Linked DNA regions of Rattus norvegicus. The protein of the gene in region 1 purifies or fractionates together with the protein of each later gene. This does not show direct contact. Links are inferred from orthologs where the notes say so. Each region holds a gene or a part of one and is shown in the gene's direction. Other genes may lie near its edges. The genes, in order: Rpap2, Polr2d and Pfdn2.

What was found.
Region 2: the proteins of Rpap2 (region 1) and Polr2d purify together in Homo sapiens (affinity purification with mass spectrometry; 5 studies listed by BioGRID and IntAct, counting the BioPlex papers as one, with this or other methods). This does not show direct contact. The link is inferred for Rattus norvegicus from reciprocal best matches to the Homo sapiens genes RPAP2 and POLR2D.
Region 3: the proteins of Rpap2 (region 1) and Pfdn2 purify together in Homo sapiens (co-immunoprecipitation; 3 studies listed by BioGRID and IntAct, with this or other methods). This does not show direct contact. The link is inferred for Rattus norvegicus from reciprocal best matches to the Homo sapiens genes RPAP2 and PFDN2.

Annotation. Positions count from the first base shown.
Region 1 is NC_086032.1:2,296,920-2,306,744, reverse strand, and holds part of Rpap2 (RNA polymerase II subunit B1 CTD phosphatase Rpap2), read left to right. Parts: intron 1-3,284; coding exon 3,285-4,203; intron 4,204-8,325; coding exon 8,326-8,420; intron 8,421-9,812; coding exon 9,813-9,825.
Region 2 is NC_086036.1:23,687,275-23,697,787, forward strand, and holds the start of Polr2d (DNA-directed RNA polymerase II subunit RPB4), read left to right. Parts: upstream 1-5,303; 5' UTR 5,304-5,358; coding exon 5,359-5,431; intron 5,432-6,770; coding exon 6,771-6,951; intron 6,952-10,101; coding exon 10,102-10,197; intron 10,198-10,513. UniProt on the Homo sapiens protein: Core component of RNA polymerase II (Pol II), a DNA-dependent RNA polymerase which synthesizes mRNA precursors and many functional non-coding RNAs using the four ribonucleoside triphosphates as substrates.
Region 3 is NC_086031.1:86,302,213-86,312,674, forward strand, and holds the start of Pfdn2 (prefoldin subunit 2), read left to right. Parts: upstream 1-3,615; 5' UTR 3,616-3,625; coding exon 3,626-3,700; intron 3,701-10,462. Other genes in the region: Nit1 (deaminated glutathione amidase), read right to left, coding at 416-679, 1,354-1,479, 1,614-1,747, 1,957-2,060, 2,165-2,422, 2,819-2,914, 3,482-3,483. UniProt on the Homo sapiens protein: Binds specifically to cytosolic chaperonin (c-CPN) and transfers target proteins to it. Binds to nascent polypeptide chain and promotes folding in an environment in which there are many competing pathways for nonnative proteins.

The DNA of each region.
Region 1 (9,825 bases):
TTCATAACTTCCGTTAGTTTCACTGTGTCTCTGTCTAGTTTCTGTTTCCGTGATCTGTCTATTGATGAAGGTAGGGCGTTGAAGTCTCCCACTATTATTGTGTGAGATGCAATGTGTGCTTTGAGCTTTAGTAAAGTTTTTTTATGAATGTGGAATGTGCCCTTGCATTTGGAGCATAGATGTTTAGAACTGACAGTTCATCCTGGTAGATTTTTCCTTTGATGAGTATGAAGTGTCCTTCCTTATTTTTTTTTTTTTTTGATAACTTTTGGTTGAAAGTTGATTTTATTCGATATTAGAATGGCTACTCCAGCTTCTTTCTTGGGACTATTTGCATGGAAAATATTTTTTCAGACCTTTACTCTGAGGTAGTGTCTGTCTTTGTCACTGAGGTGCATTTCCTGTATGCAGCAGAATGCTGGGTCCTCTTAACATATCCAGTCTGTTAGTCTGTGTCTTTTTATTGGGGAGTTGAATCCATTGATGTTAAGAGATATTAAGGAATAGTGATCGTCACTTCCTATTGTTTTTGTTGTTAGAGGTGGAATTGTGTTTGTGTGTCTCTCTTCTTTTGGGTTTCTTGCAAGAAGATTGCTTTCTTGCTTTTTCTAGGGTGTAGTTTCCCTCTTTGTGTTGGAGTTTTCCTTTTATTATCCTTTGTAGGGCTGGATTTGTGTAAATTTGGTTTTGTCATGGAATATCTTGGTCTCTAAATCTATGTTAATTGAGTTTTGCTGGATATAGTAGCCTGGGCTGGCATTTGTGTTCTCTGGTCTAGGGTCTGTATGACATCTACCTTGGATCTTTTGACTTTCATAGTCTCTGGTGAGAAGTCTGGTGTAATTCTGATAGGTCTGCCTTTATATGTTCACTTGACCTTTTTCTCTTACTGCTTTTAATATTCTTTCTTTGTTTTGTGCATTTGGAGGGAATTTCTTTTCTGGCCCAATCTATTTGGAGTTCTGTAGGCTTCTTGTATGTTTATGGGCATCTCTTTCTTTAAGTTAGGGAAATTTTCTTCTATAACTTTGTTGATGATATTTACTGGCCCTTTAAGTTGGGAATCTTTGCTCTCTTCTATACCTATTATCCTTAGGTTTGATCTCATTGTGTCCTGGATTTCCTGGATGTTTTGAGTTAGGAGATTTTTGCATTTTGCATTTTCTTTGACAGTTGTGTCAATGTTTTCTGTGGTATCTTCTGCACCTGAGATTCTCTCTTCTATCTCTTGTATTCTGTTGGTGATTCTTCTTGCATCCATGACTCCTGATCTCTTTCCTAGGTTTTCTATCTCCAGGGATGACTCTCTTGGTGATTTCTTTTATTGTTTCTATTTCCACTTTTAGATCCTGGATAGTTTTGTTCAATTCCTTCACCTGTTTGGTTGTGTTTTCCTGTAATTCTTTAAGGAATTTTTGTGTTTCCTCTTTAAGGGTTTCCCCCTGTTTACCTCTGTTCTCCTGTATTTCTTTAAGGGAGTTATGTATGTCCTTCTTAAAGTCCTCTATCATCATCATGAGATGTGATTTTAAACCCGAATCTTGCTTTTCAGGTGTGTTAAAGTATCTAGTACTTGCTGTGCTGGGAGAACTGGGTTTTGATGATGCCATGTAGTCTTGGTTTCTGTTGCTTATGTTCTTGCACTTACCTCTCGCCATTATCTCTGATGTTAGTTGGTCTTGCTGTCTCTGACTAGAGCTTGTCCCTCCTGTGGGCCTGTGAGCCTGTGATCTTAGGTGTGTCAGCACTCCTGGGAGACCAGTTCTCTCCAGGATGGATTCGGGTGTGGAGAGCTGTGCCACAGGGTTAGCTCTGGAGCACAGTTGGAGACTGGAAGGCAACTTTTTTTATGTATTTCATTTTTTTTATATGTGTAAGTGTTGCCTGCGTGTATGTTGATGTGAGATATATATATATATATATATATATATATATATATATATATATATATATATATATATATATGCTTGCCTGGTGGGCACTGGGCGGTCAGCTGTTGGATCCCTGGATCTGGAGTTAAGGGTAGTTGTGAACCACCTGAGTGCTGGGCATTGAACCCATGTCCTCCCTAGTGGAATTTCTTTTTTTTTTTTTCTTTTCTTTTTTTCGGAGCTGGGGACCGAACCCAGGGCCTTGTGCTTGCTAGGCAAGCGCTCTACCACTGAGCTAAATCCCCAACCCCCCTAGTGGAATTTCTTAAACTTTCTTTTTTTTTTTTTTTTTTTTTTTTTTTTTTTTGGTTCTTTTTTTCGGAGCTGGGGACCGAACCCAGGGCCTTGCGCTTCCTAGGCAAGCGCTCTACCACTGAGCTAAATCCCCAACCCCTAAACTTTCTTTTCTTCTTATCCAAAAGTCACTTGCCTAATGATGTCGGTTAGATTCTAGTAAAAAACTGTATGTGACCCTGAACTTTGGAAATCTCAAATCAGTTTCTGTATTCCCACTAGACTGACCCTGAACTTTGGAATCTCGATCAGTTTCTGGATTCCCCCTAGACTGACCCTGAACTTTGGAATCTCGATCGATCAGTTTCTCTATTCCCACGAGACTGACTCTGAACTTTGGAATCTCGATCGATCAGTTTATGGATTCCCCCTAGACTGACTCTGAACTTTGGAATCTCGATCGATCAGTTTCTGATCAGTTTCCCACTAGACTTGCTTTCAGTCTCGCTGTCTAGTGTGACCTCTGTTCCTTCCCACCGCGTGCTCCTAGACCAGGCAGCAGAGCTCTCACAAGTGTGCTTGCTTGTCCCAGCACGAACCAGAGCAGCTCCTGCTTTGCCTTTGCTCCGGATTCTTAATCTGATTTAAACTGAATCTCAAAGACAAAGGGTGCAATCAGGGACAGCTGTTACCATTTTGTTTGTATTTGTGAGCTCTCAGATTTAAATAGCATCCATTGAACCATGCTGATGTGCCAACTTCATTTCTGTTGTGGCTTTTGTATTTTTTCATTACATGAAATTTTTTGTATAATGGCCAGGCAGAATTAAGAAAATATTAATCTTTTCTTCAGGCAACAAAATTGTCGGATAGGATACAGTCTTTACTGCACTGCTTTAAGAACTGTAAAATGTTAGGATCAAACAGAAGGAAGCAGAAGAAGCCTTCTGACACACGTGTATTAGACATGGGGAAAGGAAAGCCTTCTGAAATCTAAGTGTCAGAGTATAAGACGTAAGGCTGTTTAAGGCCAGCAGTTCTCACCTTCGGCATCCGGAGTGTACCTGTGTGAAGATTCCTCTTCCATTGACATGGTTTTGACGGTTTCTCCCTGTACAGTGGCTGTTCTGGAGAGGTCGTACAGTTCTTCAGAGACGCCGTTACAGCAGCAGATGTCGATGCTTATGGTGCCTTTGATGCACAGTGTGAACCTGCTTCCTCCAGCACTTGGAGCGAGCGTGCCAGCGACGAGCGTGCCAGCGATGAGGAGGGGCCAGGCTTTGTTTCTTCTCTTCTCCCAGGAAACAGACCGAAGGCCGTGGGCACAAAACCACAGCCACACAGACAAAGCAGCACCGTGAAGAAGAAGGCTGCTCAGAAAATGACCTCCAAGCACGGAGAACAGACCGTGTCAGAGGTCACGGAGCAGTTGTCTAATTGTAGATTAGATAGTCAGGAGAAAGTAGCTACTTGTAAACTTCCTGCAAAGAAAGAAAACACTCAGATTTCTTCACCTGGCCCTTTGTGTGACAGATTAAATACTTCAACAGTTTCTGAAAATAAACACAGTGTATCACAAGTTACTCTTGTGGGGATAAGCAAGAAGAGTGCTGAGCATTTCAGGAGCAAATTTGCCAAATCTAACCCAGGGTCTGGGTCAGCCTCTGGTTTGGTGCAGGTGCGTCCTGAGGTCGCAAAGGCAAATTTACTCCGAGTTCTAAAGGACACCCTGACTGAATGGAAGACAGACGAAACACTGAAGTTTTTATATGGCCAAGACCATGGTTCTGTGTGCCTGCAACCCTCTGCAGCCTCTGGGCCTGATGAAGAACTTGATGAAGATGACATAAGCTGTCAAGCTCAGAACACCTTGGATGAGACACTCCCCTTCAGAGGCTCAGATACAGCCATTAAGCCACTGCCAAGTTATGAGAGCCTGAAAAAGGAAACAGAGATGTTGAACCTGAGGGTCAGGGAGTTCTACAGAGGACGCTGTGTTTTAAATGAAGACAGTACCAAGTCTCAGGACTCAAAAGAGGTAGGTCTTCATGATAAGTGTTTTAGGCTGCTCATATTTCGAGAACTCACAGAGCAGATCGGTTGCTTAGATGTTTGTCTAGGTGACGTGTAGTTAGCATGTCCATTTGAAATGTTACAGACATGGTTGGGGGGTGGCTTACTAGATTAGGCATGTGCTACCTAGGCTTGAGGAGCTGGGTTCAGATTCCTAGCAATCATAAAAGCTAGGCACAGCTTACCTATGTGTATATCTGTTAGACACTGCTAGGCAGCATGGCCAGAGAAGGTGGATTCCAGTAGCCCCTGATCAGCCAGTCTAAGGGGACATCTTCAAGTTCAGTAAGAGACTATATCTAAAAGCTAAGGTGGAGAACAGTGATAGAAGAAGACACACAGCATTGATGTCCAGCCTCCACATGCCCCTGAATGCACATGTGCACATGTATAAACACCTCACAAGCTCACATGCCCATGAATGCACGTGTGCACATGTATAAACACCTCACAAGCTTACATGCCCATGAATACACGCATGCACATGTATAAACACCTCACAAGCTCACATGCCCATGAATACACACATACACACACATGTATAAACATCTCACAAGCTCACATGCCCATGAATGCAGCATGCACATGTATAAACACCTCACAAGCTCACATGCTCATGAATGCATACATGCACATATATAAACACCTCACAAGCTCACATGCCCATGAATGCAGCATGCACATGTATAAACACCTCACAAGCTCACATGCCCATGAATACACGCGTGCACATGTATAAACACCTCACAAGCTCACATGCCCATGAATGCACACATGCACATATATAAACACCTCACAAGCTCACATGCCCATGAATGCAGCATGCACATGTATAAACACCTCACAAGCTTACATGCCCATGAATACACGCATACACATGTATAAACACCTCACAAGCTCACATGCCCATGAATGCACACATGCACATGTATAAACACCTCACAAGCTCACATGCTCATGAATGCACACATGCACATGTATAAACACCTCACAAGCTCACATGCCCATGAATGCACATATGCACATGTATAAACACCTCTCAAGCTCACATGCCCATGAATACACGCATACACATGTATAAACACCTCACAAACTTGCAAGATAAAATGTTACAGATGAAAATACAGGAAAGGAACTTCCTGGGAAGAAATGGATATGGATATTTGATTATCCACTCTGTCATCTGCTAGCTTCTTAAAGTTAGCTCTTTGACACCACGTATCTGTAGATGGACTTGCATCCTTCATTTGTTCGGAGCGTGTGGCATTGCTGATAGCATGGTTCACAGGCGTTACACATACAGGCAGGGTGCATGCTGAGAGGGAGGGAGGGAGGAGGGCTGTGTGCCTTGCCATTCATGGTTTTGGTTCATGTGCACTACCTGGGAATCATATGGCATGCAGAAAAGAGTGGGCAACAGCCTATTTCTACCGTATAATTGTTATTAAGGTGTAAGACATGATGTTGCACCTAGAGATTTGGAGAGGGAAAGTGGAGCTAGAAAAAAGTTTCTTGCACCTTTACAGAACTCTCGCCTGGCTTGGGACCATACTTGAAATCTCAGTACTAATATCAGATGGCATCCAAACCTATATTAAGCTAGAAGGGACACTAGTCTCTTCAGTGAGCTGCATAAACCACCATCACTCACTGTTTTTCCATACTACAAAGCCTTAAAAAAGAAAATTAAGTGTCTGAAGCCCGTGACTTTGTTATAGAACATTTTACAGCTTTTTCATTGGCATTTAATATCAGTGTCCAGACTGTCGAATATTTACACTGAGCACCTGTGACGTCACTCCCCAGACCAGGAGGTGCTTCCTTATAAGGAGACCTGAGCATCAGTGTCTGTCCCTGGCCATTGCCTGTTTGCAGTTTACTCATACACAGTAGTGGAGACTACCTTGCCAGCTCTTGAACAGCCTGTATTCTTTGTTGCCCAGTTTGTTATAATACCACGTGGTTCAGCCTGTATTCTTTGTTGCCCAGTTTGTTATAATACCACGTGGTTCAACCTGTATTCTTTGTTGCCTAGTTTGTCATAATAAATACCACGTGGTTCAGTTTGGTTTGTTCTAGACATCCATGCTCGTGGGTATTCCTGTAGTTCATGGTGCATACACACTACATACATGCATTAGCCCTGAGTCCCCAGCCTGTGTCCCATGAGCTTTTGCGTGACTTTCCCGGTAGAAAAGAAATCCAAGGAAAGCTCCCATCTAGGTTCACTCCGTAAGACTGAGCTGGGATTACTCACAGGCTCCGTAGACAACTGTGTCACTGAAAAGTCCCCCAGCACTGAGTGGTGACTTCAAGGCTGCTCCCCATAGCAGCCAGCCTTCCGTCTCTTACAAACTCCAACACTACAGCCACACGCAGCAAGAGGGAGGTGGTGGCAGCTCCTGGTATAGGCCTTCCATGAGGAAATGCTCACCACTCCCTCACCATTGTCAGAGACCCAGCTGCCACCACTGCCAGCCACAGGTATTGTGCTCCATGTCGGACACTGGTCCCAGGGTCAGCAGGGAGAATGTGAGCTTTGCGCACCACTGCCCAATGAGTGCTTTGACTGCTGTTGTCCTTTCTGCGTCTGCTAGCTCTCTCACATGGCTCCAACTGTCTGCTAAAAGCTTCAACTCCATTTTCTTCAAAGATGTTAAATGTCTTTATATGCATTATATAATATAGCACTTAACAGTAATATCATTTCACTATTGTCTTATTTTATTAGACATCAAACATTGTCTATTAACATGCTGTAAGCTGAACTTGGCAGTGTGTGCCTGTAACCCCAGTGTTTGGAAGGCCAAGGCAGGATCACGACTTTGCAGCCAGTCTGTGCGCATTGGAGACCCTAACCTGAGATTCAGGATAGTATTATCATCCTCTAGGGATGGAGCTGTTCACCTCTCAAGATTCCCAGCAACCCACGTCACCATGACCTGATCAGGACTCGAGGGGACTTAATGGTGGCAGCAGTCCTCAAGAGTCAGCCTTGCTACAGAGTGTATTCCTTCCAAGTCTGTCCTCCAACTGGGAAGCTTTACCCATAACCCGCCTTCATGGGCATCCCCTGACCTATGATTCCATTAGAAAACTCTCTGCTGAGGTCCTTAGTGTCTGAGTTGTCTCTTCCAGGACTAGCCCAGCACTCTCCTGAGTTACCCTCTCCTGGTCTAGCCCAGCACTCTCCTGAGTTACCCTCTGCAGGGGCTCAGCCTAGCACACTCTCCTGAGTTACCCTCTCCTGGTCTAGCCCAGCACTCTCCTGAGTTACCCTCTGCAGGGGCTCAGCCTAGCACACTCTCCTGAGTTACCCTCTCCTGGTCTAGCCCAGCACACTCCTGAGTTACCCTCTCCTGGTCTAGCCCAGCACTCTCCTGAGTTACCCTCTGCAGGGACTCAGCCTAGCACACTCTCCTGAGTTACCCTCTCCTGGTCTAGCCCAGCACACTCCTGAGTTACCCTCTCCTGGTCTAGCCCAGCACTCTCCTGAGTTACCCTCTCCTGGTCTAGCCCAGCACTTTCCTGAGTTACCCTCTGCAGGGGCTCAGCCTAGCACACTCTCCTGAGTTACCCTCTCCTGGTCTAGCCCAGCACTCTCCTGAGTTACCCTCTGCAGGGGCTCAGCCTAGCACACACTCCTGAGTTACCCTCTCCTGGTCTAGCCCAGCACTCTCCTGAGTTACCCTCTCCTGGTCTAGTCCAGTTCCTTACTGCCTTGCTAGCTTTGTGCTGCTTGCCAACAAGTGAAGTGGGTTTGGTTTGGCTGTTTGTTTTCAGCTCTCATTCCTAGTTCATTGGAATGACCTTACCTTTTCCTAGAAATGCTTTCCCCCAGGTACAAGTACTGATGTTAATCCTTAAGTGTAATTTATAGCGAGTTTGGTAGTTTACAGAGGAGACCACTGCCTTCCAAAGGGGGCAAAGGGGCCAGCAGGGCATCACCTGATGGTGACATATGCCGATGCTCAGGTTTAAACATTTCAGTTCTCAAGTCTCTTCCTACACTAGAGGAGCAAATGTTTCTACTCAGTGTTATGGCTCCGGTCATTAAAAACAAGTTTATTTCTCTGTCTGCTTTCAGAATGAGCTTCAGCGTGATCCCAGCTTCCCCCTGATTGATTCGAGTTCCCAGAACCAGATTAGAAGACGGATTGTTCTTGAAAAATTGAGCAAAGTGTAAGTATGGACATGTCATTTTAGCTTTTTAAGAGATTTAAATTAACTCAGTATTTTCATGAATTTGCAATTTATGAATATTATCCTTGAATTCTGAACATTTTTTAATGATTTGAAAAGCTTGCATGAATTTCCTCACTTGAAAATTTTCCATTTTAAGATTTATTTTTTTCAGATATCTTTAGATAAATTGTTTTTGTAGATGACATAGGAATGTCATAAAAGGGAAAAGTGAGACGGTAGAATAGAAAAGCAAACTACCCCACGCCTTCCTAAGCCAGCCAAGAAATAGAGAACAAGCCAAGGGCGCTCTGCCCCTGCGAACAGCCACAGCTGGATACTGCCACACCACTGGACACTGCCACAGCTGGACACCGCCACACCACTGGACACTGCCACACCACTGGACACTGCCACACCACTGGACACTGCCACACCGCTGGACACTGCCACACCACTGGACACTGCCACACCACTGGACATTGCACTGCCACACCGCTGGACACTGCCACACCACTGGACGCAGCCACACCACTGGACACTGCCACACCACTGGACACTGCCACACCGCTGGACACTGCCACACCGCTGGACACTGCCACATCGCTGGACACTGCCACACCGCTGGACACTGCCACATCACTGGACACTGCCACACCACTGGACACCGCCACACCACTGGACACTGCCACACCACTGGACACTGCCACAGCTGGACACTGCCACACCACTGAACACTGACACACCACTGGACATTGCACTGCCACACCGCTGGACACTGCCACACCACTGAACACTGACACAGCTGGTTGGCTTGTTCAGCACAGCCGCATGGTCCTAGGTCGTTTCACACTCAAGAACATGAGTTTCCCTCAGTTCAACTTGAGCTTTGGCTTGAGGTGTCTTGTAATGGGAAGGATTGTTCTTAAAATCAGCCCAGTCACAAGGAACAGCTAAAAACTGCTGTTTCTGTTTAAAACAAAACAAAAAAGTTTGCGATTTTTTTTCTAGAACTATGAGATCTACCTTGAACTTTCCAACCTGTAGTTTTTTAGCAAGAAAACATAAAGTGTGTTAATCACTGTTTGAGAAGTTGGAAAATAGTGATGATAAGGTTAGTCAAAGGACAGTGCTTTCATAGTGAGGCTATGGAATTAGAGGTGCTGACAGACAGACTGACAGAGGACAGCAGCCCGTGCGGGTTTGCAGTACAGGCCTTACTCTGCAGCACAGACCAAAGCAGCAGGGCCTTCCTGTGAACGGGCACTTTGACTTCCTTCTCACTCATCACAAGGTAGCTTAGCCTTTGAGACTTCCTCAGGGCCACTGTTGGATGTAGAAACCCCAGAGGTAGGCACCATATATAATTTTCTTTTGTTCTTTTCTCCCCAGATTGCCCGGCCTT
Region 2 (10,513 bases), on another chromosome or scaffold:
CTGACTGGAGTATGTCCAACTGAAAAATGCCAACACTACCCTTCAAGTTCTACCTCTGCCCTTGTTTGAGGGGTGACAAGTTCTCATGTATCCTGACATGGCCTTAAATTTAGCTATAGAGTTACAGCTAAAATCTACTGGGATTCCAGATGAGCCTGCACCACCCCACCTTCATGAAGTGCTTGGTCAGAACTCAGGGATTCATGCATATCGACAAGCACGCTTCTGAGCTAAATCCCTAGCTCCAAGAGCCTATTTTATGTGGCTTTAAGTCTACAGCAGAATTCATGCAAGAGTGCCACCTACTAGTGATGAGTTAGAGCTTACTCAGGTTCACAAGGCCTAAAATACATATAAAACCAGGTCCCGGGAAATCATGTTTATGTGTGCTACACCTCTGTCCTTTTGAGTGTGTGTGTGTGCGTGTGTGTGTGTGTGCGTGTGTGTGTGTGTGTGTGTGTGTGTGTGTGTGTGTGTGTGTGAGCGTGTGTGTGCGCGCGTGTGTGCGCATGCCACAGTACCTGTGTCAGAGGTCAGAGAACAACTTTCTCGGGAGTTGATGCTTTGTTTAGTAAAGAGCTTCCTTGCTGTTGGAAGACAGCTAGTAAATGTTGCAGAGAAGGTCCAGGTACAACGAAAGGCACATGACCATGCAGCTCATGTAACCCTTCCCTTCGTTATTAATGTAATCAGAGATACAAAAGGATGGAGCCTACTTGAAGTTTTGTGTGATTCTCCAAAGAATCTGTGACATCTAGGCTTGAAAACCTCCAAGTTTAGGCTGTCTTGATATTTCTTTGTGTGTGTGTGTGTGTGTGTGTGTGTGTGTGTGTGTGTGTGTGGTGTCTTTCTGAGGATTGATCCCAAGACTTCACATGCTAGGCAAGTACTCTACCATTGAGTTATATCCCAGTCCAGAGACCTGGGCTGTTTGTTTAATTTGTGTATCTGTGTGCCTGTACCTGTGTGAGCATCTAACTTTTGGGAACTGGTTCTCTTTCCACCATGTGGGGTCTCAGACTGAACTCAGGTCATGATCTTTGGTAGCAATGAGATCAGAGTCATCTTACTGGCTTGAGAGCTGAAGGTTTTGTTACTTTGAGACAGGGTTTCACTATGTAGCCTGGGCTGGCCCAGAACTCACTACGTAATCTCAACTATAGTGAACCATCTGCATTTGCCGCCCCATCAGATCTTCAGTTTAAAGACCTGCTCTGCCTGAGGCAACACAACTTCCGGGATGCTTTCCATCCTGTAGTCATGAGAAGGTAGCAGGACACTATTATGTTCCTGAGAAAGTCTTTCTGGTCATGTCTTGCTTATTTACTTCAGTACCTGGGAGGACAAGTTTTCCAAATCTTTGTTAAAGTAAGTCCATCATTTTTGTTTGTTTGTTTTTGTGACAGGCTTTCTCTGTGTAGGCTTTTTGGCTGTCCTAGAACTCCCTTCATAGACCAGCATGACCTTGAACTCAGAGAGATCCATCTGCCTCTGCCTCCGGAGTGCTGGGATTAAAGGCATGCACCACCCCTGCTTGGCCAGTAAATCCATCCTTAACAAGATGGAGAGTTGGCTCAGTGGTTGAGAACACTTGTTCTTTCAAAGGACCCAGGCTCAATTCTCAGTACCCACCCAGAAGCTCACCACCTCCTTGGGCACCAGGCACACAAGCGGTGCACAGACATACACACAGCCAAAACACTTATGCATTCAAAATAATAAACAAATCTAAAAAATTACCAAAAAAAAAATCAAGATGATCAAGACATTTAGCTGTGTTATGTGGGAGCAAAAAGTGCATTTCTCCCTCAGATTTTTACAATGCCAGAATCCCTGACAAGAGCAAAGATGAAGTTCAGTGGATAAAAGCCATTCAAGTTGACAGTCAGGATTACATATCAAGCTTAACCTGCAGAACCACAGGGTTCTGAAAGTTGAAGGGCATGGTGCTTTGGTGAGGACCTCCCTTCACATGGCATCATGGATATAAAAGGGAAAGAGAACATGATAAAGGTGAGATGCACGGTCTGGTGTGCAAAGAGTACAAAATACATTAATTCCTCCTAAGGCCATGCCCCCAATATCTAAGGGCATCCCACTAGACCTCAGTTCTTTTTAAAAATTCATTAAAGCAATTTTTATAGTTTGCATGTATGCACACATATATGCCTCTGGTGCATGTATGGAGGTCAGAGGACAACTTTTGGGAGTCGGTTTTCTCCTACCAATTAAATTCAGTTCCTCTGGCTTAGTAGAAAGTGCCTTTAGACACCAAGACATCTCTCTCTCTCTTTCTGTGTATGGATGTTCATGTGTCTGCAGGTACACGTGTGTCCATGTACATGGCAGAAAATGATATTGGATCCCTATTCAGGAATGCCATCCAATTTCTTTGAGGCAGGTCTCTCACCATCCTTGATTTACACGGCCCGAGAGCTCTTGGGATTGTATATATCTTCTTCCTCTCAGGGCTGGGATAATGAGCACTTTATGTGGGTTCTTATGATCTGTAACAAGGGTGCTGGTGGCCCTGATACTGACAAAGAACTGAGGGGTTGGGGATTTAGCTCAGTGGTAGAGCGCTTGCCTAGGAAGCGCAAGGCCCTGGGTTCGATCCCCAGCTCCGAAAAAAAGAACCAAAAAAAAAAAAAAAAAAAAAAAAAAAGAACTGAACACCAGGGACAGACAGAAGACCAAGCCCTGGAGAGGGGGGAAGTAAAAGGAATAAAAGCCTAACACTTGGAACTCCTGAGTAGACTGTGGTTTGAATATTTTCTGGGGCCCCTGGGATCGCCTCTTCCTGTTTAGATGCCCGTCCTCATGCTCCTCTGCCATTTCTCCCAATGAGAAATGTTCTTCTGTGAACATGGAATCTAAGGGAGGCTGCTTTTCCTTTCCTTGTCCACTCATATCCCTCGAACTTTCTCCCAGATGAAATCTGGGTCCGCATGCTGGCAAAAGCAAGCACTGTCATAACTGAACCTCCTCTCCAGTTCTAGTCCCTACCTCCTACGCAGTTCTGACTTCCAGGACACGAAGCTTTAGGAGACACATTTAAACTACAGCCAAACATCGGACTCTTGATCTTTCCTTAGCACCTTCTTTGACTGTGTTACATCACCCGTCAGATATTGCACTCGCTACTCTTAGTGAGCTCATGTTCGGGACAGATTTTTACCCTACTCATCATTTTAACCTCATGGACTTACAGATGGCTTATAATGGCTTCCTAAATGAAAATGGTACACATGGGCCAACCTGGGAAATGTCACTTTATGTTTTTGTTACTCTTGTTTTCTCTCTCTATGCCTGGTGACTTCTCTCCTCCTCCCTCCTTTCATGCCTCTGTGTGTGTGTGTGTGTGTGTGTGTGTGTGTGTGTGTGTGTGTGTATGTGCGTATGTGTATATATGTGTGTGTATGTATGTGTATGTGTATATGTGTGTATTATGTGTATGTGTGTATATATGTGTGTATGTATGTGTATGTGTATATGTGTGTATTATGTGTGTATGTATGTGTATGTGTATTATGTGTGTGTGTGTGTGTGTGTGTGTGTGTGTACTGAATCTCAAGTCCATTTCTACTACCTAGGTGCAGTATGACTATGAACTACTGCCCTGAATATCTTTGCAGGAGTTCTGATAAGCTGGAGCATGTCTGTTATAAAGGTCTTATGCTTTAAGGTTTATTTATGAGTATGGGTATTTTGTCTACATGTATGTCTGCACACTAGAACACCATGGACAATAGTTATAGACTGTGCGAGACACCATGTAGATGCTAGGAACTGAATCCATGACCTCTGTAAGAGCAGCCATGCTCTTAACTGCTGGGAGGTCTCTCCAGTCCCTGTTGTGATTTCTCACATGCTGTTCAGGAAAGCACCGAGAAATGGTTAAAAAGCTGTCAATACTATATAACCATTTATTTTAACCAATGCATTCCTTCTACAAATATAGATACACAGCAGTTTTGTAAAACTCATTTTATTTACAAACCAAAAGACTACCTATTCTTGGACCAGTGAGATCATGCAGCAGATAAAGGCCCTGAGTTCAATCCCCAGAATCTATGCAAAACTGGAAACAGAGAACAAATTCCACAAAATTATCCTCTAATCTCTTCTGTGCACCTCTGTATATATAATAAAAATACATTTTCTTGTCTTGTAATAAATACTTCTATCAATTTTTAAAAAGATTTATTTTCTGTGTATGTGAAGGGTGTGTATGGTGTGTTTCACCTCCAAAAGAGAGACCAGAAAGGGTTTAGATCCCTTGTAGCTGAAGTCACAGGTGTTTGTGAGCCATCTGGTGTGGGTGCTGGGAAATGAACCCAGGCCCTCTGAAAGCATCAAGTGTTAACCACAGAGCCACCTCTCCAGCCCATTTTTTATTAAGTTACAGGGTTTACTAGTGTTCACTAATGACCCAAAAACTGGAGAAGTGTTTGTCCCCCTTATTGTATAGACTTTTGTTTCTCTTTAAATTGAAAATATCACTTTTTCATTTAGCTTTCTACTTATTCAAATGTCTCAACAGATATGATAAAGGGTTCTCAATATTAAACTTCACCTGCTCAGAATTGTTAAATACACAGGAACAATTTAACAGGATGGTATGTTACCTAAACTGGCATGGATTCTTGGGAATTTGCTAAGTAGCCACGCCTCTTTGTGAATTTTTTTTTTTTTTTTGAGACAAGATCTCACTATGTAGCCCTGGTTTTATATCACTTTGTAAACCAGGCTAGTCTCAAATTCAAAAGATCCACCTGCCTTTGCCTGCCTCGGGCATGCTAGGATTAAAGGCATGCGCCACTACAAACTGATCTCCTTCAACTCTTGATCCTCGCGCTCAGTGATTGATTCATTACCACCACACAGGGGTTAGTCTTTTTTTTTTTTTCTTAAGACACAATTCAATCATTGAAAGAGATTTCAGTATGTTTCTGTAGTCACCTACCCAGCTTTTCAACATAGGACATTCCTTGGATCAGCCACTTAGTTCAGTCCTGCACCTCACTTTCTTCTGAAATGGCTTACTTGACGCTCCCAGGTGCCACGGCAATAGTGTGTTGCCGAAAATAAACACTTTAATCTCCAAGCAGGCAGCACAGAACCACACCTCCAACGACCGGAAGCCGCTAGACTGCGCCCGGACCGCCCCTGTCGCGGGCAGTCTCGCGGGTTTCCCCTAGTGTGATAGCAGGGTGCCTGACCTACCGTCGTCCGCCCGCTTTCTCGGCCCCGCCCATTCACTTGGCCCCACCCCGGAGCCGGATTGGTTCTTTTCCTTAGAAGAGCCCGTCCGTGCGGCTTCCGTCTCCGGCAGTGTCTGTGGCAGTGCGCAGGGCGATGGCGGCAGGTGGAAGCGATCCTCGAGCTGGCGACGTAGAAGAAGATGCTTCCCAGCTCATCTTTCCCAAAGGTAGTATCCGGGACAGTTCGACTCTGAGGTGACATTGTCCTTGAGTTATAGTCGTTATCCGTTCCCTGCCCACAGGGAGCATTCGGGGCCGGCACGGGGGATTGATTGGTCAGCCCGGTACAAATGAACCCTTTCGTAGTTAATTCCCCTACACCCAGCAGTTTTGTTTTTGTGAGAGCGTCTAATTAGGTATCCTAGGCTAGCCTCCACCTTATCACATTCGTGCCCTTTCCTCTTGAGTGCTAGAATTAAAGGCATGCGCCATCGCTCTTGATTTTTAGGGGGAGTTAAGCTATGCCTTTTCCTGTCATGCAGAAGATCTGGAGCAGAGGTCTCATTTCAAAATTGGCAGCCAGTAAAAGCTGAGCTATGGTTCCTCTCACAGTGCTAGTCAAAGCGTTTCAAGATCTGTGGGTCAGAAGTGCTCTCTGCCCTGGCCTCTGAGGAGAGATGCTGTTGCCGTTGGTTTCTGAACCTTCGTTGTAGCTTTTCGAGTTAGGAAGAACGTTTGAGAGCAAGATGGGTTCCGGTTTGGGATGTCTGGTACTTCCTTTTGTCGGATGTGTGCCAGCCTCTGTGCATAGTGCTGTTCCTGCTACTAAACTAGTCTAAACTAGTCACCTTGCCCCAGGAAATCAATCCCCTGTCTCTTCCTACCAACTGTTAGATATAGGAACCCTCTGTACCTGTTTTGTGGGTTCTGAGGATCCTAACTCTGCTTCTTACACTGGAGTGGCAAGTACATTATCCACTTAATCATCTGCCCAGCCCCAGCAAGTGAGGTTATCTTCTGTCTTTTGTGTGTGTTTTTAATTGAGATGGAGAATCTTTGTTTTTAAATTTTTATATATAAGGATTATTTTGCCTGCGTGTAGGTCTGCATGCATGTGAGGTGTCCATAGAAGCCAGATGTACTAATTGGACTTAAAAGATGATTTCGAGCCATCTTGTTGGTGCTGTGTGTGGCAGAACCCTTATCCTCTAGAAGATTAGCCAATGCTCTTAAGTGCGGAGCTGTCGTCTCTCCAGCCCTTATGTCACTGTTGTAAAATTTATTTTTATTTTAATTATGTCTGTGCAGGTATCTGAGGAGGGGAGAGGTGCTATGAGGTGTCTGATGGGGTGCTGAGAATTGAACTTCCTTCGAAAGAGCAGTGCATGCTCATTTCTCTAGCCTTCTGGTTTCGTTTGTTTGGTGTTTTTGAGTCTCTCTGGCTATCTTACAGCTCATCAATAATAGACCAGGCTGGCCTCAAACACAGAGATCATCCTGCCTCTGCCTCCCAAATGCTGAGACTTTGAAAAGAGTATTTTCAGTTCACATTTATTCTTCTTCCAGAGTTCGAAACAGCTGAGACGCTCCTGAACTCTGAAGTTCACATGCTTCTGGAGCACCGAAAGCAGCAGAATGAGAGTGCGGAGGACGAACAGGAGCTTTCAGAGGTTTTCATGAAAACCCTGAACTATACAGCCCGTTTCAGCCGGTTCAAAAACAGAGAGACCATTGCCAGTGTTCGTAGGTGAGTACTGAACATAAGCCCAAAACTAAAATCTACTTATGTATGTGTTATGGGAGTTTGGCTGCTTGTATGTCTGTGCACCATGTGTGTAAACACCCACAGAGGCCAGAATAGGGCGTTAGCTCCCCAGGGCTGGAATTACGGACAGTCGTGAGTCACTGTGTAGGTGCTGGGACTCGAAACCCAAGTCCTCTGAAAGAGCAGCTGGTGCCCTCAGCTGCTGAACCGCATCTCCAGCCCTACAAAACGGTTTTATTATTATAGACTCTCGTGAAAGACAGAGGCTGTAGGATCCAGGAGTTCAAGGGCATCCTTAGGGGCATAGTAGGTTCAAAGCCAGCCTTGATTGCATGAGACGCTGTTTTAAAAATGCTAACAAAGCAGGGGCCGCTGAGATGGCTCAGTGGGTAAAACATGCTTCAGCCAAGAGGTGGTGGTGCACCCCTTTAACCCAGCACTCAGGAGGTAGAGGCAAGCATATCTCTGAGTTCGATGCCAGCCTGGTCTATAGAACAAACAAACAAATGCAACCAAAAGTGCTTTCTGGGTAAGTCTTAGGACCTGAGCTTATATAGAACCCCAGATGCACCCAGAAGCTCTGAGAATGAATGAGAAGTTGCCTTCTAAGTATGTATGCTTACGCACTTACACATACACACAAATGGCTAAATAAACAGACCACACACAAATACTTAGGGGAAAAACAAACAAACAAACAAAAAAACCCTAACTGGGTATGCCTTTAATCCCAGAATTTGAGAGACAGAGACAGGAGAATCTCTGTTTGACTCCAGCCTGGTCTACATAGCAAGTTCCAGGACTACATAGATAGAACCTGTTAAAAAAAAGTAATCAAGGGCTTGAAGCCCCCACCCCCACCCCCAAATTTTGCCTACCAGAAAAAAGGCTCTCAGACTTGACTCAGTCAAAATTTTCTCCACTGCATCACAAATTCTGGGGTTACTAGTATATGCCATCATGCACTCGCTGCCCTCCAGGTACGATTTCTTGTATTCATTTTTATTTTATTATTTTTTTTATTGGATATTTTATGTATTTACATTTCAAGTGTTATCCCCTTTCCAGTTTCCCCTCTGGAACTCCTCTATCCCATCTCTCCAACCCCTGCTTCTACGAGGGTGCTCCCCCACCCACCCACTCCCAGCTCACTGCCCTGGCATTCCCCTATACTGGGACATCCAGTCTTTGCAGGACCAAGGGCCTCTTCTATTGATGCCAGACAATGCCATCCTCTGCTACATATGTAGCTGGAGACATGGGTCGCTCCATGTGTATTCTTTGGTTGGTGGTTTAGTCTCTGGGAGCTCTGTGGGGATGGAATCTGGTTGGTTGATATTGTTCCTGTAGGGTTGCAAACCCCTTTGGCTCCTTTAGTCCTTTATCTAACTCCTCCATTGGAGACCTTGTGCTCAGTCCAGTGGTTGGCTGTGAGCATCTGCCTCTGTCAGAGCCTCTCAGGAGACAGCTATATCAGGCTCCAGTCAGTATGCACTTGGCATCAGCAATATTATTTTTATTTTATACACACACATACACACACACACACACACACACACACACACACACACACACACACATGAGGGGGCGGGGAGAGGGGATTTCTTTATATAACTTGGATATATATATATGTGTATATATATATGTGTGTATATATATATATATATATATATATATTTTTTTTTTTTTTTTTTTTTTTTTTTTTTTGAGGCAGAGTCTCATTATCTAGCCCCGGCTGGTCTAGAACTCCATATTAGACCAGGTTGTTTTCTATCTCACAGAGATCCACCTGTTTTGAGATTAAAGGTGTCGAACACCACACTGTCTTTTGTTTTTTAGAAAAAATTTATATTATTGTCATCGTTATTATTACTGAGACAGATTTGTATCTCTGTTTAGTGAAGAGCATGCTGTGTAGACCAGGCTGCTGTGAATGTGTGCTATTAGGCACAGAAAATCATTTTTTGTTATTTTGTTTATATGTATATACACGCTTGTATATATGTGCACCATGTGTGTTCAGTGCCAGCACTAGCAGAGGCCAGAGAGGAGTTGTAGACACATGGACCCACCCAGTGCAGTTGTTAACTCAAGTCCTCTGAAAATTAGCAGATGCTGTTACTGCCGAGCCATTTTTCCAGTCCCCCAGAGTATATAAGTTCTTACTACATTCATTTGGAAACCAAACTTATTCTCTCGTAAGCTTTATTTTATAGTGCAGGCTATGGAGATCCTGAAGGTGCAGCTTACACACAGATTTGCACAGAGTTTGGGGTATTTCAAAGTTAAAGGAGAGGAGTTTCCCTCAACATACGCAATAGGCTAGCCAATCAGATCTCCTGAATTGCTTAACATTAACTTATCAAAGGTAGCAGATAGAGCAAAGAGCTAGAGAGTCACTTCCTTTTGAATATTTATTTATTTTTTTTTCTTTTCTTTTCTTTTTTTTTTTTTTGGAGCTGGGGACCGAACCCAGGGCCTTGTGCTTGCTAGGCAAGCGCTCTACCACTGAGCCAAATCCCCAGCCCCTTGAATATTTATTATTGCATTTTATTTTATGTGTGTGTTTGCCTCTGCACCACACAAGTGCCTAGTACTGGCAGAGTCCAAAGAGGGGTATCAGATCCAGTGGATCTGGAATTTCAGACAGTTGTGAGCCACCATGTGGGTACTGTAAATTGAACCCGGGACCTCTGAAAAGAGCAACTCTCAACTACTGGTTTCTTGGCAGTAGTTACAGCACATACATTCCTCTTTACCCAGCTGTGCTCTTCTCAGGGTTCTTGGCTGTCTACGGTGGGTTCTTTGTTTTCTTTTTCTGGAACGTCTTGATTTTCTGGGGTAGGAACAGAAAGTGATTTCAAAGGGGGATTCTGATGCCCATATAGCCACAATCAAAGATTATAAATACCTTTTCTCACCTACATTTGATCTTTTTGCTATTGATGGACTTAGCATTTGACCAGCACTGAATGAGACTGTAGTTTTTTGTTTCGTATTAGCATATAACTGCAGGTAATTACAGGTTCCATTGTGACATTTTTATTCAGGTATATAGTATAGTATAGATCGTGCTCATTTCCTGTCTCTGTCCCTCTCTAACGTCCTGTGTTCTATTTCCCTCACACTCAGCCTGCTTCTCCAGAAGAAGTTACATAAGTTTGAATTGGCTTGTTTAGCCAATCTGTGCCCGGAGACTGCTGAGGAGTCCAAAGCGCTGATTCCAAGGTTCGTACGGGATGGGATGGGGTTTGTCTATTTTATATGGATTTCTCTAAGTCAGATTGCTAGATCCACATGTCGTAAGCGTTTAGCAGTTGGGTTGATGCCATGCTAGCGTTGAGTAAGAGTGTAGTTGAGTGGTGTTTGAGATGGGACTTGGGGGTTGGTTTTGTGCTTTGCTGGTGGCAGTCTCAGGTAGCCAAGGCTTTCCTTGAGCTCTTGATTGCCCTGCTTTCACCTCAAGGGCTGGGATTACAGGCATGAACGAGCATGCTGGCTTAAGAATAGTTTGAGTTTACCCATTAATTGTTTGTGTGCATGT
Region 3 (10,462 bases), on another chromosome or scaffold:
CATGCACTGAGCATTGCACTTTGTTAGGTAGGGAGGCACGTTTGAGCCAGGAGACTAAGAAGCCTAGTCGAGCAGGTACAATTCCACCTCCCTTCCCAGCCCCAAAAGAGATGTCCAGACATTATGATTGATTATTATATTTTTTTTCAATGCCAGTGCTGCTCAGCCCTCAGCACAACTTCAGTTTTCATGAAATAAACAGTGACTATATAAAATTTCATTTTTCTGAAACTGAAATCTGAGATCAGGTCAAAGTCTCTTCTTTCCCATGGACTTGATTGAGCCTGTGTTCCATTAGGAGAGTTAAGTCCTGCAAGTGAAGGGAACCGTGCTTGGGTCCAGCCTACAAGTCACGGTAGCATCACCTCACAGTTGGCGTGTGTTTGTCTGTCTCAACCAACAGAAATTAAAAACATTAGGAGAGTGGCAGGAGACTGCCATAAAGGTCAGGTCTGCGATGCTGGAACACAGGCAAGTGTTGGCGCATCTGTTGCAGAAAGTGGAGATCAATTCGAGCAAGGCAAAGGCCTGGTCCCTCGGAACAGCTGGCCACCACTGTGCCCCAGGGGTCAACCACCATGCTGTGGCCGTAACTTGCTCTTGTCTCATGGTGGCGTCCACACTGTGCTGCTGCTATCACGTAGCACTGAGACTCAATGGCGCGGGCCCGCAGCAGCACCTGAGGATGAGACGTGCGTACTCAGGAACATACAGCATTTAATAGGCGAGTGACAAGAAGCGGACACTGTGGGCCCAATCTACTCATTGACTATTGATCAACTAGAATTAGTAACTAACTATAACATGACTCACACCTATCTAAGAAACGAATTTCCTCACCAGATCGGAAGGGAAGAAAATCCTTCAAGTAGAAGGGGAGGGGTGTGTTTGTGTTTTGTATTTTTTTATATAAGGTCTCCTTGTATAACCTTGGTTGGCCTGGACCCACAGAGATCTGCCGGCCTCTGCCTTACAGTGCGGAGATAAAAAGCACACACCACCATGCACCACTATTTTGGGTGGTGTGGGTTACTTTTGTTTTGTTTTGTTTTGTTTTGTTTTGAGACGGTTTCTCTGTGTAGCCCTGGCTGTCCTGGAACCTACTCTGTAGACCAGGCTGGTCTTGAACTCAGATCCACTTGCTTCTGCCTCCTGAGGGCTGGGATTAAAGGTGTGCACCCCCACTGCCCAGCTTCTATTTTGTTTTCTGTTTTACTCGAGGCATCACTATGCTGGCTTTGAACCTGTGGCTATCCCCTGAAGTGCTTAGAGTTTAGGTTTGTGCTACTCTGTCCCCACTACTAAAAATAAGATTAAAGGAGGCCTATATGTTATGAAGAGGCATTCTCCTACCTCCCAGTGGGCTGGGCCGGTAACAGATCCAAAGGCTGAAGGATAAGTAAGTATTTCTGCCCCAGCTTGAGCCAATTTCAGAGAAAGTTCAGGGAACCGCATGTCATAACAGATTGCTAGACCAACCTGAAACGAGAAACAACCCACTCATCTTCCCTGTCCTGGTCAACGTAACATTGAATACTACCTCCATCATCCTACACCAAAGGGAGATGTTACAACTTTTTCAACATATTCCTATTTTCTTTTCAAACTCCTACCTTGCCTGCTGGTGTCTTGACAGGTGGTTCAAGAGCGTATCCAGGCATGGTATAGTTGCTTTCTCTCATAGGCCCCTGACCTGGGATCTCTACATCACATAGATGTGTCTTCCTGTAACTGGCCACTACTGATCCTAAAGTAAGAGAAAATGCTCAGTACAGACACTGGAAGTCCAGCTTAGCTCTTCTCCCAAAGAGTAATTTTTAGGCTAAGAACAGAAGCATTCAAAACAAAACAAAAAAACCCCTAAAGCCAAGCAGTTGAGAAAAATGCTGAAGATCTGAGTTGGAAGAAGGTAGATGAGCCTAGGAAGAGGCAAGCTGAAGGACTGTGAAGTCTCACCCTTGCTGTTCAGAAGCACATGACAATTGTAGATTTTCTGAGTCTGCTCCCAGTCTTGGCCACGCTCGTGGAAACCACCCAAGGACAGCCAGATTCCACATTCCCTGAGGGGGAGGGACACTGACAACTCTACCCCCTCTATGTGGCAATCCAGGAACACTGCCCAACAGGGATTCTACCCCTCCCCACCCCCACCCTACCCTTGTACCTGGCAAGCTGGCTATATTGTCCCAAAAGGTCCCCATCCAGTGGTTCGGACAGGAGTAATGTCTCGGCAGGATTTCGTGCAATAAAGTCAAATGCCTCAGGCAGAAAGGCCAGGCAAGCGCCCAGTCTGGTAGCCTCTTGAACCAGCTCAGCACACGTTTTAAAGTTCTCTTGCTTGTTTGGTGTTGATGTTACCTGGCACACAGCCACCAGGGGCAGCTCCCAGGAAGTCGATGAGGACTCTGCCATGGCTCTGGGCCTGTGAATGACACAGGCAGTTTTCTCAGGATTTCTACCGCGTGCCGCGGAGAAACTTGGGAGGCTCAAGTGGGGGTGGAGCCGGAAACTTACTTTTTTTTTTTCTGATTTTACCTCCCCTTTGAGACCGGGTCTTTTTGTAGCCCAGGCAGACCTTTCTATGTAGCGGGGATGATCTTAAACTCCTAGTTGATCCTCCTGCCTGTTTCCCGAGTGCTGGGATTAGAGGTGTGTCCCACCAACCCTAGCGACTTGTTTTCATTCTTCCAGAGCATTAAATAACCCTAAGCTACTGGAGTACACGCATTAAATGTTTGGTGGATGGCAGGTCCACTATTCGGTTAATAAACATGGACTTAGCAACTACGTGCTAGACAAAGAACATAAAATATGTTACCTGGGCTGAGTACAAAGTACTGAGATTTGAGGTAATCGGTATCCGGTACACAGAAGGGACAGGAGTTGATGAGGAGGCCTGGTGATGAAGCCCAGCCTGAAGAAGGTGAAAAATCAGGACACCTAACCCTCCTTCAAGCTGTAAGTTTCTAGAATTCTCTGCCATTTCCAGACCTGGCCAGTAATCCCCTCCCCCAAGGCTTCGAAAACACTTTACTACTAGTAGTTATGAGATCATAAAATGGGAAAATGGAAGAGGACACTATGATCGGTGCCTTAATACCTCAACTTCCAGTGATCTCACATTAAAACTGAAGCCCTTTTCCTCTGCCAAACGTTTCCGCAGTTCAAGTCATCTCATGGAACCTTCCTCGTTTCCCCAATTCTCTCTTCTCGGCTGTGCCACCTGGACAGCTTTATAGACTCAACATGTATCTTTCCCCTTGTACCAGAATCTCAGAAGGAAAGTTCACCCTCCTTAGATCTCCACCATTCTCGTGGTGGGTAGGTAGATGGGTACAAGATCAGATCCCAACCCGAGCCCCCGCCCTCTGATTAGCGCGTCCTTCCCCGGCTCTCCCCGGGGCAAGAATCTCTGTTGCACAAGTTAAAGCATAGCAGGTGGAATTCACCGCAGCAGGCAGGGTTGGGGAGTAGGTCCTACATGAAGACACAGCCAAAACCATTCGCAGGGTCGGATCTGAAGAGCTGCCAGAAGCCAGAAGCGCAGGAGCAAGTGGGCGGTAACCACTAGAGCGGATGTGACGCAGTGGGAGTGCGCAGGCCGGAAAGCTTGCAGGTGGGGAAGATGGCGGACAGCAGCGGTCGTGTGGGCAAGAGCGGCGGGAGTGGCACGGGGAAGGGGGCGGTGTCGGCGGAACAGGTGAGGAACCGCGAGCGTAGAAGGCACCTGGGTCGGTGTCGAGTTCGTGCAAGGAAAAGGACTTGTGATTCAGAGGGGCCTTTAGTCCTTCCCACGTTCTCCGTGGTCACGCACAGGGGAGAGGGCGTTTTTGGGGGTGATCACAATCCTTTCTAGGGCGTGAGTAGGTGGGGTAGGTAGGTGAGAGGCACGCCCGGGGTGTGGGTGGGTAGTCGAGAGAGAAAGCTCTTAGATGCAGGATCTGGGAGGGTTGTCCAGGTCCCTAAGGACATGGATCGTCGTCTCCCCCTCTACGAGGTACCCTAAAGAGAATATGGTGTTTGAAGTGTCATCTAGTAACGAATCCCAGGCTGTTCTTAGTCAGTGAGTGGGTTATTTAGTCTTTGACTCCAAAACCGTGTTCACCATCACAAACACGCTGCAGAGCCACGTGACTCAGACTCTGACCAGTTTAGTGTTCAGTAACTATTTGGACTAAGGAGACTGTGGCTTAGTTATTTTCTTGTTTTGTTTTGTTTTTGTTTTGTCTTGGGGTGGGGATGAGGGTTGCTATAGGGTCGGGCTGGGTCGCTCTATGTAGCCTTGCTTTTCTGGAATTCACTATGTAGACCAAGCTGGCCTGGAACTCACAGAGATTCGCTTGTTTCTGCCTCCCAAATACTGGGATTATCTGGGACTACTATTCCTGGCTCGGGTTGTTTTCGTTTTTTGAGACATGGTCCAGCTCACTCTCTATGCTCCCTTCTGCAGAGACTTAAGTTTTCAGAAGAGGCTAGAAACCATTTTCTAATGCAGGTGTGATTCTGCTCTTCATAACATCGGGATACATCTGACGAATTAATCAGAAAGCCCTTTGTGGTATAGGGACCATGTTTTGTTAGTCTTGGGACTAGTGTTTAATTGATATTAGAAGAACACACAATTGGGGTTGGGGATTTAGTTTAGCTCAGTGGTAGAGCGCTTGCCTAGGAAGCGCAAGGCCCTGGGTTCGGTCCCCAGCTCCGAAAAAAAGAACCAAAAAAAAAAAAAAAAAAGAAGAAGAAGAACACACAATCGAAATGAAAATAGTTGAAGCTAGGGGTGTAGTTTGGTGGGTTAAATGGGAAAGCCTTGAGGTGTGGGGTCTGGGTGGGTGTCTGTTCTCACCTGGTATGGAGGTCCAGGGTTGGGATTGAAGAGCTATTTTAATCATATATTTGTCAGTTGCTTGTTGAGCAATCACTGCAGGTAAAAGTATCAGCATAGGGACTGGAGTGGTGGCTCAGCCGTTAAGAGCACTGACTGCTCTTCCATGGGTCCTGGGTTCAAATCCCAGAAACCACATGGTGACTCCCAACCATCTGTAATGAGATCTGATGCCTTCTGGTGTGTCTGAGGATAGCTACAGTGTACTTATATATAATAAATAAATACATCTTTAAAAAAAAGTATCAGCAGAAATAGTTTAAAACCCATACTGTTGGAGAGCATCGTCTGTTGAAGTGGGGTTTACAGTTCTACTATGAGTCGGAAAGTAAGTATTCAAAGAGAAGTGACATTCTGGGGATGGAAGAGGCACCTTGACAGTGGGAAAGAAAAAAAGTAAAGCTTTTGAGAGTCTGTCTTGTGTTATACTTTGCTTAACACAGAGAAACAGGTAAGTGAAATAGACTTTATCTTAAATTTGGACACAGCCAAGTGTGATGGCTCATACCCATAATCCCAATGGGTTACCCTCTCAGTTCCAGGCTAGCCTAGGTTACAGAGTGAAACACAATCTCAAAAACAAACAAGACAGACAGAATGGCAAATAAAAATGAAACAACGAGACTTCAAAAATATGTTATGTATATTTGCATGTCTGAGTGTGTGCATGTACCACACCTGTGCAGGAGCCATTGGAGGCCAGAAGAGGGGTCCAAGCCCCTGATAACTGCTTATTAGCTACCATGTGGGTCTTGAGAACCAAACCCAGGCCTTCTGCTATAGAAGTAACAGTTCTTCCACCGAGCCATTGCTCCAGTCCTTACACCAAAAACTTCTGCACATGATTTCTCTTCTTACTTTTTACCCTCCTCTATCTGTGAAAACATGTACTTCCCATTTCATAACTATTTAGTGTACTAGGCAAGAAAATTCATTCGACACCCTCCCCCCCCATCACCATGACTAAAAAACAGAGACTACAGAGTGTGTTGACTAAATGCTAGTTAGGGGTGGAGAGATGGCTTCTGCACTTGAGCACCTCATCTCACACAAACACATACATACATGCACATGATCTGAACAATCTTTCTAAATGCTAATTTGTTTTTATTTTCTAGAGGATTCTTCAGCTTAATTCTAAAGGCTGAGGAAAGTTAGTCAATGTGAGGATTTTTTTTTTTCGTTAGAAGAAATGTGTTCATAAGCCTTGAGCCATGAACTGCCCGGCCTTGGAAATGCTGGAAGATTTAAAAGAGCTGTATTGCAAGACTTGAAGAAGACACAGTCAGCCTTGTTGTTCTTTGACACAAGTTTTTTTCATGTGGCCTAGAACTCACCAGCCAGGCTAGGATGGCTGGCCAGAGAGTCCATTGACCCTCTCTTCCCCAGCACTTGGATAACAAGCCTCAGAATTTAAGTTCCCTAGCATTCCATTGCCAGGCAGTTCATGCCTCAATACCATACCTCCCCCACCCCCCAAGTTCTCAAACTCTGGTTCTTTGGTTCTTTACCTGTGGAACTTTTCTTCCCAATTTAAGTGTTTGTCACTGATACAAATTCAAGCCTGATGTGACTTTCACAAGGAAGATAGGAGCAGGTCATACTTTCTACTAGGCCCTTGTTTTATTTTCGGTTTATCCTATTTCTATTTATTGTTTATTGGTTTGCTGCTGTTTTATCTGAGAGAGGATCTCCCTCTGTAGCCCTGGCTAGCCTGGAACTTGCTATGTAGACCATGCTAGTCTAGGGCTTGTGGCATTCTTCCTGCTTTGATCTCCCAGGTGTACCACAGCACTTGGAGGAGTGAGTGCGCGCGCGTGTGCGCGTGCATGTGCGCGTGTGCGCGTGCATGTGTGCGTGTGCATGTGTGCGCATGTGCCAGCCAGCCACCCACATGCGTGCCTGGTGACCTTGGACTGTGGGGGTCAGAGCATTGGATCCTCTGGAGTTAGAGACAGTGATAGTTATGGGTTTCCATGTAGGTGCAGAGCCACAAGTGCTGCTGAGCCATCTCTTTAGCTCCCCCAAATCGAGACACATAAACATTATGTACACACATATAATAATGAACTAAACAACTGAAAAGCCCTGCTGCAAAGTAGATTGTGATGTACACGCCTGTAAGAGATCCCCTGTATTTGGGGGAGAGGTAGAGAGGCAGGATTAGGAGTTCAAGTTCGGGGTTGGGGATTTAGCTCAGTGGTAGAGCGCTTGCCTAGCAACCGCAAGGCCCTGGGTTCAGTCCCCAGCTCCGGGAAAAAAAAAAAAAAAAAAAAAAAAAAAGAAAAAAGGAGTTCAAGTTCATCCTCAACTAAATAGCATATTTGAGGCCAGTGTGAATCTCAAAAAGACAAGAAAATTCCTGTCACTTGTCAAAGTTCAACAGGTGTTTCGAAGAGGACAGAGCCTACTCAAACACTGCTTTATACCCCTTACCCTCCAAACTCATGACCTTATAATGTAAAATACAATCATTCTGTCCCAGTAGTCCCCAGAGTCTTACATTGTTCCAGTACTAACTCAAAATTCCAGGGTCAGTTGTGAGCCTGTGCAATGAGAGTAGCATATGCACGTTCATCATGTAATGCAGAGGCAGGCAGAGGGTAGACATTCCCGTTCTAAAGGAGAGAAGTAAAGCCAGGAGGAGGCTTTACTGTTAAAGCCTTAAGTCTGAATTCCGAGAGGGCAGGCATGGTCTTACCGTTCTATGATAAATTATCCCTATATATGGCATTTGGAAACTCTGGGGCAGGAATTGGGCCTCTAAAATACTAGACAGCTCCACAGGGCACAGTCCATGCTTCATGCACTTGGGCTGGGGGCATACCAGTGCCTGCAGCTTGCCCGGTTAGGCACTGTCCACTGACAGTTGCTGTACTATTAGAGATCATGGTGGCTGCCTGGCCTAGGGCTTGTTCCAGTGAGGATTCCCCGACAGCTCCCATTCCTACATCAGGGTTTTCCTTGCACCCCTGTTTAACCTCCCACAGTCCAGTGCATCTTGTGAAGTTTTGGTAGAGGAAGCCATTTCTCCACAGCTCTTGCATTCTGCATGCCTCCAGAATTAGCACCACGAGGCATAGATACTACCACAGGTTACTGCTAGTAATGCTTTCTCCAGCTGCAGTACAAGCTGTACTTGAATAAATAATGGAGCATGCTGGGATGTGAGGAGCAGAGGCTAGGTATACTGGGCTGTGAGTTCTTTCTGCCCTTAAGACCCTAGCTTTTGGTTCCATGATTGGAAAGACAGCCAGGGTCTCCAAAATGCCTTCGGAACGTTTTTTGTCATTGTATGGTAAATAGTAACACTCAGCTTTCTCTGTCAGTGCTAATTTGTGCACTTGCTTGGTAAACCTCTTTGGGGGGGGGCAGGTTGGGAAGGGAGGGAAACAGGTTTGCATTTATTTATTTTGTGTTTGTGGAAATGCCACAATGCTCATGTGGTGGCCAAAGGACAATTTGCAGCAGCTGTTCTCTTCTTCCACCTTGTCCATCCTGGGATCAAACTCAGGTAGCCAAGATTGGCTGCAAAGTCCCCTTACCAGTTGAGCCATCTTACTGGCCACTGTCTTGACCTATTTCCACTTTGTACATAGACAGCCTGTGAATTGTATTAGATTTCAGGCTCTATTTCCTTCCTTCCTTCCTTCCTTCCTTCCTTCCTTCCTTCCTTCCTTTCTTTCTTTCTTTTTTTTTTAAAGATTTATTTTTATTTATTTTATAGATGTGAATACACTGTCTCTGTCTTCAGACACACCAGAAGAGGGCATCAGATCCTGTTACGGATGGTTGTGAGCCACCATGTGGTTGCTGGGATTTGAACTCAGGACCTCTGGAAGAGCAGTCAGCGCTCTTAACCGCTGAGCCATCTCTCCAGCCCCACTTCTTTTCTTTTTTTTTTTTTTTTTTTTTTTTTTAAAGACCTATTTATTTATTTTATGTATGTGAGTACACTGTAGCTGTCTTCATACACACCAGAAGAGGACATCAGATCCCATTACAGATGGCTGTGAGCCACCATGTGGTTGCTGGGAATTGAACTCAGGACCTGTGGAAGAGCAGACAGTGCTCTTAACCGCTGAGCCATCTCTCCAGCCCCTCTTTTCTTTTTTTAAAGTTTATTTTTATTATTTTTATTTCATGAATATTGGTGTTTTGCCTGCATGTATGTCTGTATGTTAGAAACTCCAGAACTGGAGTTACAGAGAGATGTGAGTAAAAAAGGGGGTCATTCTTATCCCTACCTCACTCACAGATGAGAGGGACTCAAACTGTGACTTTTTATTTTGGCTTTGGCAGGTACTGGGGATTAGCCCTCATCTACTTTTCTAATGGTTGGATTGCTTCTTCCCCAGCTGTGGACCTCAGATACTTGCTTTTGAACTCTTCCTGGGTCATTTCTGCTCCAGTAGTTGGTGTTCTGGTGTTCTGGGGAGGCATTTTGTCCTGGCACATGCTGCTGGTCCATCATGACTAATGGAGACCTTCTGTTCTCTCTGTCCTCCTTCCCCTTCTTTCTCATTTCTCCTTCTCCGTTGTGGTCCCTACCTGTGACCCCAGCCCTGGGACTCAAGCTCCACTTCTCTCTGTTCTTCCCGGTAATTGGTTGTAGCCGCATTTATTTAACCAATGCTTTTAAATTGGGGGGTAATGTTTGCATAGCAGAAGCTGATGTAATGGGGATTGCTTGTCCTGGGGCAATGAGATCTTGGGGTACAGAGTTTAGCATTTGAATACATAGCAGCACTCGAGTAACCCCCAACAGGTGAGTTGCCATGTGGGTGCTGAAACTGAACCTGAGTTCTGGAAGAGCAGCCAGCGTTCTTACCTGCTGAGCCATCTCTTATTTTCTTTTGATTATGAATTCTGTCTTTAAGCTGGGTGGTATGTTTCTTGAAAACGACAGATTTGGATCTTGTTTTATAATCTGGTCATCTGGTCTTTCTTTTTTTTTAAGTTCTTGATACAAGGTCTTACTATGTATCTCTACCTGTCTTTGAGCTGACTAGATAGACCAGAGTGGCCTTGAATTCACAAAGATCTACCTGTCTCTGCTTCCCAGATGCTGTGATTAAAGGCATGGGCCTTTGGTGTTTTAATTAGAGTGTTAAGACTACTTACATTTAGGGTTATTGATAGGGGTTTGTTAATTACTGTGATTTTGTTGAATGTGTTTCTGGTTGATTGAATTATTGTTGGTTTGTTTTCTTCATTCTTCCTATTTGAGGTTTTGGACTGTGTTGGCCATGGTGTGTGTCTGTGTGAATGTGTGTGTGTGCACGTGCACTCACTCATGCTCGCTCTCCCTCTCCCTCTCCCTCTCCCTCTCCCTCTCTTCACCTCTGCCTGCCTGTTGCTTATAGACCCCAGTCTGGCTTTGAACTCACAATGTAATTAGGGCTGACCTTGAGCTCCTGATCCCTCTGGTTCAACTTCCCAGATGCTGGGATTTCAGGCATATACCAGCAGTCTCTATTTTAGGAATGATAGTCTTCCTTAGTTCTTCTGTTCCTATCTTGAAATTTATTCTTCCTTGTGTGTCTTTGTCCTCTGTGTATAGGATTCCTCGTTGGC